2 linked regions of the Caenorhabditis elegans genome follow. The protein of the gene in region 1 purifies or fractionates together with the protein of each later gene. This does not show direct contact. Each region holds a gene or a part of one and is shown in the gene's direction. Other genes may lie near its edges. The genes, in order: sorf-1 and sorf-2.

Evidence for each region.
Region 2: the proteins of sorf-1 (region 1) and sorf-2 purify together in Caenorhabditis elegans (affinity purification with western blotting, with the first as the bait; one study listed by BioGRID). This does not show direct contact.

What each region holds. Positions count from the first base shown.
Region 1 is NC_003284.9:3,377,465-3,381,395, reverse strand, and holds the start of sorf-1 (Suppressor of organelle fusion 1), read left to right. Parts: upstream 1-2,147; 5' UTR 2,148-2,238; intron 2,239-2,496; 5' UTR 2,497-2,506; coding exon 2,507-2,629; intron 2,630-2,687; coding exon 2,688-2,798; intron 2,799-2,871; coding exon 2,872-3,025; intron 3,026-3,074; coding exon 3,075-3,250; intron 3,251-3,298; coding exon 3,299-3,354; intron 3,355-3,931. Other genes in the region: ZK563.7 (Apyrase), read right to left, coding at 289-502, 556-701, 748-814. UniProt on the Caenorhabditis elegans protein: Together with sorf-2 negatively regulates the levels of phosphatidylinositol 3-phosphate (PtdIns3P) to enable the conversion of early endosomes to late endosomes.
Region 2 is NC_003281.10:5,324,357-5,328,287, forward strand, and holds the start of sorf-2 (Suppressor of organelle fusion 2), read left to right. Parts: upstream 1-2,266; 5' UTR 2,267-2,274; coding exon 2,275-2,450; intron 2,451-2,864; coding exon 2,865-3,590; intron 3,591-3,861; coding exon 3,862-3,931. Other genes in the region: F52C9.3 (uncharacterized protein), read left to right, coding at 834-1,108, 1,739-1,876. UniProt on the Caenorhabditis elegans protein: Together with sorf-1 negatively regulates the levels of phosphatidylinositol 3-phosphate (PtdIns3P) to enable the conversion of early endosomes to late endosomes.

The sequences.
Region 1 (3,931 bases):
TGTCATGCTGCGGGCTAATTTTGCAGAATTGCGGGCCGGAAATTGCTGCTCCCCTGACCAGCAGGAAACCCCCCAAAATGTTCACTGCCAACCTTTTTCTGAATAGTCCACGGACATGTGTGTATGGGATTGAATTCTTGAGATCTCATATTTCCTAAGTAATCCTATGTGAAAATCTCTCATCAATAAAAATAACAAGCTGAGAAAATTCCGTAGTAAAAGAATACCCCAGTGAGAAATGTTTGTATTATTCGTAAACATTAAATTTTTCAACCAAGACCAACTTACGACTACTTGAAGATCCATTTCCCGTTGACGAGATTACCCATGGAATTGCGGTGCCGTTTCTCAGCCAGTAGACAACTCCGATTTTATCATCCACTGATAATAATCTGTTGTTGAAAATTTTCAAATCACTCATTTCCATTGATTTTTGGTTAAAGTTAAAATTCGATGTGATGTTAACTCCACCTAGCCAGTGAATGAAAGAAGCAGTTCGATTCTGAAATTAAATGTATTTTTTTTATTTTCTGGTTTTTCTTTTGCGGAAATTACCTGTGAAAAGGCCAGAGCCCCGTATCTGAGAGTACTGTACCAGCTATCTTTCTGTTTGGTTTTACTATCCATATCAGTGATAATTGCTAACGGTAGTAACATATCACTGTTGTTTTTCGAGTCCACTTGAATCACTTCGCATAGTGCTTTACAAGTTAGGAAAGTTATAATAAAAATTGCTTCATTACTTACGTTTTTTAATTTCCGACCCGTTTAGAAAGAATGGAGCACATAGGAAAATTGATAGAAGAAGCCACATTTGTGAATTTTCTCAACACAAAGATAGCTGAGAAGAAAAATGTGTGAAAAAAGTAAAAAGTCAACTGGTTGCCGGCTCAATTTCCGTTCCGGCCTTTACACGTTGCCTCTGCAAAACACATTCATCAGTTGCTACCTACTTGAACTTCGATACTTCTTCTCCATCAGGAGAAACAAATCAAAGCAAATAAGAAGAAATATGTTGAGAAACTTGATCTAATGGCAGAAAAGATTGAAACACGTTGGAAACAATTGTGACAGCTAATGGAAGAAAAATATGAAATTGAAGCAGCAAAGTTAGAGAACTGGAGGCTGTGATGAGCCTAGATATTTTTCGTTTTTTTTTCTTGCTTCACACTTTATGTGATTAGTTCGCCGATTGTTCGGAGGGAGGTTAAGCCAGTGAAAATGGTGTTTGTTTATCTGTTTTTGGTGTGAAATTTCGGACTTTTCGTGAACAAATGAAACGATAAGTGTCTAGTCATCAACGGTTGGAATATATAGGGGGCAATCGCAGTCTGAAATTTGATAGCATAAAAACACTCATCGGAAAAGTGGCATGGTAAGGTTGAACAACGAGCTTTTTTTGATGTATTTTAATTTCAAATTTAAATGGTAATCAAATAAAAGTTAAATATTTCAGAGTGCATGTGTAGTATACCTGCCCCAAAAATTTTAACCATTTTGAAAACTGTACGTGACTGTGTCAAAATATTACGATTGAAATTTTACCAACTTTCAAATGAATACAACGGTAACAAAAACACCTCTCAAAACTGTAAAACAAGTAATACAACGTTTCATTACACCTACACAATTTTCAAATCTCACACTGAACAACAGAGCACCAAATCAAAAATTTAAAGAATTTTTAAAAATGAGTTTACTTGTAAAAAATTAAAGCGTGCGAATTTGAGACTTTGGAAAGTACCAATTATCATGAGAAAAACATGTGTTCATGAAAATTTCATTCATTTTCAAAAATGCAGGGTTTTAAAAAATGCTTTAAAAAAATATATAAAGAATAACAAAATATTGCCACTGGAAAATTGTTCTCAAAATTTCCTATATTTACTTGATTCTTCAACAAATGTTATGATTTAAAACCGACCTTAAAATAACAAACATTACCCAGAATCAACAAAACTGCTTCAGTCTGAAAAAAATTTCAAAATTTTATGTAAGGTATTAATTTCGTAAGTCGCATAGTCTTGTTTTTATCCAATATTCATTGAACACACATTGTTTTTTTATGCATCGCGTTTACAAGGTTCTTCCCGGCTCGGCCATGCGCAAATCTTCGGCCATCGCGCACGTACTCCACTCGGAGTGATCCGGCATTTTTTGGGCGCTTATTGACGTATAAACGACAATGATTATAGCTCTGTAACGTGTATTTTTGCGAATTTCTAATTTATTACTTCAGTAAGTGTTTCAATTGTGAAATATTTTTTTATAACAACTTTCTCATATTAAAATGCTAAACCGCCAATATAAATCGGCAGGACTCGTTTTTGTTTTGTTTGTGACGACGACCGATCGATGAACGCACACCTTTTCGTGTGTTTACTTGAATGTGTTGCATTAGAGCGCATTTTACTTTTTCTGAGGGCATATATAATTGATTTTTCATGTTGAATACCTTTTTTATTCGCAATCACATAAACAAACATTTCTTTGCAGATTTAACCAAATGAGCCATGTTTCCAACTCCACCGACGAAGTGGTCAGAAACTATTTGGCGGCGAAGTCGATGGTCACCAGTTTGAAAGCTTTCGATCAGGAATCTTCATTTGCCAAAGAAGCTAACTATCAGGTAATTATTTTTGGTCTTTAAATTTTCAAAAAATCAATATGCCGATCATTTTATTCAGGTAGATAGATGCATTGACGAGATGACAGATGCCATTGATAAACACGACGTGGACACTTTATGCGCAATGTGGGAGTCTTGGAATGCCCGCGTTTTTCATAGTTTAGATACGGTCAGTTTTTTCTTTAAAATTCAATTATTCTAACAGTTATTACCATCAATAATTTTAAATCGATTATTTTCAGGAAGGAATAAAACAAGCGCAATGTTACGAAGCCAGCGCCTATCGATTATTTCTCGTTCGGTGTGTTCAAAAGAAAAACATTTCAAAATGCAACGAATTTTTCCGGAAAATGTCGTCACTTACGTTAAACAATCCGCAATGGGCAGATTGGTTTGGTATGCCGGTTTTTTTTTTTTGAAAAATGGTCATTGTTTCAACTTTCAGCATTTCCCTACAACCACCATGCAAAGGACACCGAGCCATTTAGAAAGTATTTTGATAAAACGTGGATTGAAATATACTACGTATCACTTCATAACTTTTTGTCGACAAGTTTGGCGAACGTTTCTCCAAGTGTTATCGGAACGATTGTAGAAGGAATAGCAAGAGATCCGACTGGAGTAAGATACTGGAATTGAAAAAAAGTTATCTTAAATAAAGTTTTACAGAACGATCATGTGGATTTCGATGAAGATTTGATAGACGACTTCGCAGTAATTGCTCAGTGAGTTTGTTCATTGCTCAGTGATTTGTTTAAAAAGTAAAATTGAACTAGCAGACACGTATTTCCTGTAAAAACGTTCTTTGAAAATGTACTATCGATGTGTAATATTGTTACTCAAAAAAAGTCAAAATTAACTCAAAATACTAAATTTCATTATAAGAATCTACTATGTATAATGTTCAAGAAAATGTGATGGGTAAATAAAAACTGAATTTCTTACGCAACTACTGTCCTCAGATAATTAAAAAAATCTAATATGGGACCCGGAAATAGTCGAAACTTCTGAACCCCCAAAACTGTACCCTCCGAAAAGTTTCCCGCCAACTATAGCAATTTTCGAAATAACTGTGGCAACTTCTCACCTATCTTTAGTGTCTTGAATTTTTTGCGGTTGTCATTTTTCAGTATCCAAGTTGCTGTAAATTTCTGAGATTATTTTTATTTAATATTAAACAACCTACATAAAGACGTTTTTAAGAATTTTCGGGAGATCTTATTTCGAAATTCGGCTTTAAACTTTTGTTTCTTAAGCATTTAAGTTTATTGAAATGTTGTGTCAAGTTGTTTTTGCATAGGT
Region 2 (3,931 bases), on another chromosome or scaffold:
GTTTTTAAATTTATTTATTTTATTTTTTGTTATTTTCCACCGATTTTTAATGTTTTCGGTGTATTTTTGGTCGAATTTTAGAGAAAAAATCAAAATAAATGCAAATTTTCGATTAAAAAGCACGCTTACAGGCGTAAAAATGTAAATCAGTGAAATTAATTAATTCAGGTTTGAAATCGTTGAAAAAAGTTACTTTTACATTTTTACGCCTATAAGCGTGCTTTTTAATCGAAAATTTGCAATTATTTTGATTTTTTCTCTAAAATTCGACCAAAAATACACCGAAAACATTAAAAATCGGTGGAAAATAACAAAAAATAAAATAAATAAATTTAAAAACGTGCATGCGCGCTCCATCGAACAAATCCAATTGGCGGTAATTCAAATAGAAATTAGGCAAAAACTGAGATTTTTCAATTTTCAAAGAATCATATAAAATTTAGAAAATTTTTTTGAATTTTTTTATCATGATATTCGGTCATTGTGGTACCATAGGCATGTTTAAAAACTATTTCCCCACTGGCGCTACTCCACCTTTAATTTCTGAAAATTCATTGGAAATTGAATTTTAGAGAAAAATATATTTAACATTTTTTTCTTATTAAGAGAATTGATATTTGAAATTGAAATCTCTCCCAAATTTTCTACAGAATTGGGAAATACATTTAGATTTTTTAAAAAAAAGTTTTCAAATGTTAAAATTTAAATGTTTGCGAAAAAAAAACAACCCCAAGCATTCAATTTGAAAAAATTCGAATTACTAATTTTCTGGTACCAAGAGTTAAATTATTGCTCGAGTTTCGAGTTTTGAATCAAAATTTCTCAATTTTCAGGGCAAAAAGATTATACGGGAATAATCAACGAAAAATGCGGAGAAAAACATGAACTGGACACACACGGAGCTGAATTTCTTATCGAAAATGAACAAATGAGTGATTATTCACAGATTCGATTCAGAATGGGCGGTACGGATATTGGACGATTTGGAGTAATTTCTGATGGATTTAAACGATGTTCTGAAGGAATTGTTGGAAGAAGTACTGATGAAAAGTTTTATGGAACTGATTTCTTGGCAAATTCTGTTGCTTTTAAGATTTCTGCTCTACCGGTTAGTGTTTAAAATTCTTTAAAAAAATAGAACAGCGTTTTGAAATTTAATTTATTATTTTTTTCTTCTGAAAAACATTAATTTTGAGAAAAATGAGCAAAACTGATATTCAATAAAATTCTATATTTTTACTTTCGAGAAGCATAACAATTTAATTCTTAAAGTATAGAAAAAACTTCCAATTTAAAATCTCAGTGAAAATTTGATTTAGAAATTTCACTGTTTTTTGCAGAAAAAAAGTTACAAAAAAAATTAAAAATCTATTACATTTTTTAATGCCTCCTTTATTTTTAAGATTTTTCTGAATCAGTTAAATTTTTAAAACCCAGTGTCATTGACACAAAAAATTTTATTTTTAAACTTAAATAATTAAATTGTTAAGTTTCTCGAAAGTGAAAATATACAATTTTCGTGAAAATAAATGGTTTAAATATCAAGTTTTGAACATGATTATATCGATTCTTAATTTAAAAAATTTTGAGCATTTTTTTGTATTGTATAATCTTTTCTTGTCTAGCCAAAAACTGAATCTTTAAAAATTTAACTGATTGCTGATAAATATATTGAACTTTCTATAAAAAGTTTTCTGAAAAAAAAAACAATTCTTAATCTCATTTTTACCAATTTCAGTCCTACATTCATCGCCTCTACATCTCAAGTAACGCTACACCAAAAGATGCTGAACTCACGGATAGACAAATCACAATTCGTGGAACTCAGAAGAAATTGGACATTTTCCTGCCAACATCCATTCGCCTGGAACTTTAATGTCTTTTTATTCGATTTTTATCGATTTTTTAGGATTTAGTAAGAATTATTTGTTGACTCTCTTTTTGTTGTTTTTCTCTTTAAAAATAAGTATAAATAAAAAAGTTTTGTTTATTTATGTTTGCCCTGAAAATCGATACAACAATCATCATCTCGTTCCCGTCGAAATGTTTATTTTTGATTTTGGGTTACCAGAAAATTCAAAATTGACCTCCGCCTTCGGAAAGATCGATAATTGCAACGTTTTTGAATATTTCTCCATTGAATAATTCAGAATTTGTCGAGTTCATATTACTTTAATCTTAAAAGCGCGTGATCAATTCCTGTTGGGTCCCGCCACGTTTTAGGGAACTATAAAAATTTAATAATCATGATTTTATCGATTTTCAGACCCATATATGCCTGAGGAAGAGTTCGAATGGAACGAGTCAAAACTAAATGCTCTATCAGAAATTCTCACCCAATGGGCTCCACATGATGAACTGAAATTGGAAAATGTCATACTTGAGGCAAAAATGGCCTGGATTCACGAATCCACAGATGCTGTGGCACTCGAGAAAGAATTCGAAAAATTGTGAGCAAATTTATATTACCCAGATGCCAAATTCTGCAACTTTTGCTCCGATAATACTGTAACTGGCCTCGACACGACAAATAGTTATTAAAATTGTATGAACCTTTGAAGAGTACTGTAGCTTCAAATTCTCGTTGCGATTTTGCGTCGATTTTTCATAAATAGTTTTTAAATTTTCATGATATTTTTTCTTGAATAAAAATATATACATTTTTGAAAATTGGAAAAAATACTATAAGTTAAAAATCGATGAAAATTAAGCAACAACGAGAATTTGAGACTACAGAAATCTTTAAAGACGCGCCATGGCGCTCTATTTTTTTCATTGTCGAGACCAAGAAATTTGAAAACTGAACCATGTGCGATCCCGCTCCACTGAACTAATTATTATAAAGCTTATTCAAATTTTTGCAGACTCAACACCTCATTCGACCCTCTAATGGACTATGAAGAGCACCAACGAGTCAAAAATGGAGTGTGCTCACCGGCAAAAAGCACAAAATTGGATTGGATCACGAAATGGGCAAATATCGCAGAGAAGCTTTCAATTTCTCATATAAACTGCTCAAAAGCACCTCATAAGACAATAAATTTTCAACGTCTTCAAATTCTTCCAAATATGACTTCAATTCTAGCAATTGCTCATACAGAGGCAGATAATGTAATTTTGATTTATGGTCACACGAAAGAAGGAATCGATTTTCAAACTGTACTCCGACACTCGTACAGTAATATTCCTGATGGAAGCCTTCAGACAATCCATTTCCTCACTAAAAATCTACTCGACCTATATTCCCAATTATTCTCGAGAAAGATCACAGCTGAATTCAAAACCCGTCATTTCCGCTGTCTTCCAAGTTTCTGGCTTCAGTATGATGTTCTTGCTCCAATATTTGAGCAGTTTCGAGCTCCGCGAGCCCCCAGGATACCTCTTGATGAGGCAACGTCGAATTGGGCGAATAGAAAATGGGAAAACTATCAGTATCTGACATATTTGAATGATATCACTGGACGAGTTCGTGGAGAAGTACATAATCATCCGATTTTTCCGTGGGTGTGTGATTTTTCCGAGGAAAATGGCGGGTTTCGGCAATTAAATCGAACGAAATATCGGCTGTGCAAGGGAGATGATCAATTAAGGTACACAAATTTTTGGAAATCATAGTTTCAAAAAGTGTAAACTCGGCTACCAATATTTTACACGACCATGCCGATATTACTGTATATTAGTAATATCAGAATATATTTGTAGTGATACTGGAGCATCGTCGCAAATTAATTTTTTTTGAAGTTTCATTCATAAAACTTACTAAACTTACCATATACCAAAATTTTCCAACTCGAAGCCCCGGTCCCTTAGAAAACCCATAGTTTGGTAGAAATAAAACTTTGAAAAACTGAACCATTTTAGAGAAATGTACTCCCGTGAGCCATCGCATCACGTTCCCGAGCTGCTCTCAGACATTGGTTACATGGTCTAC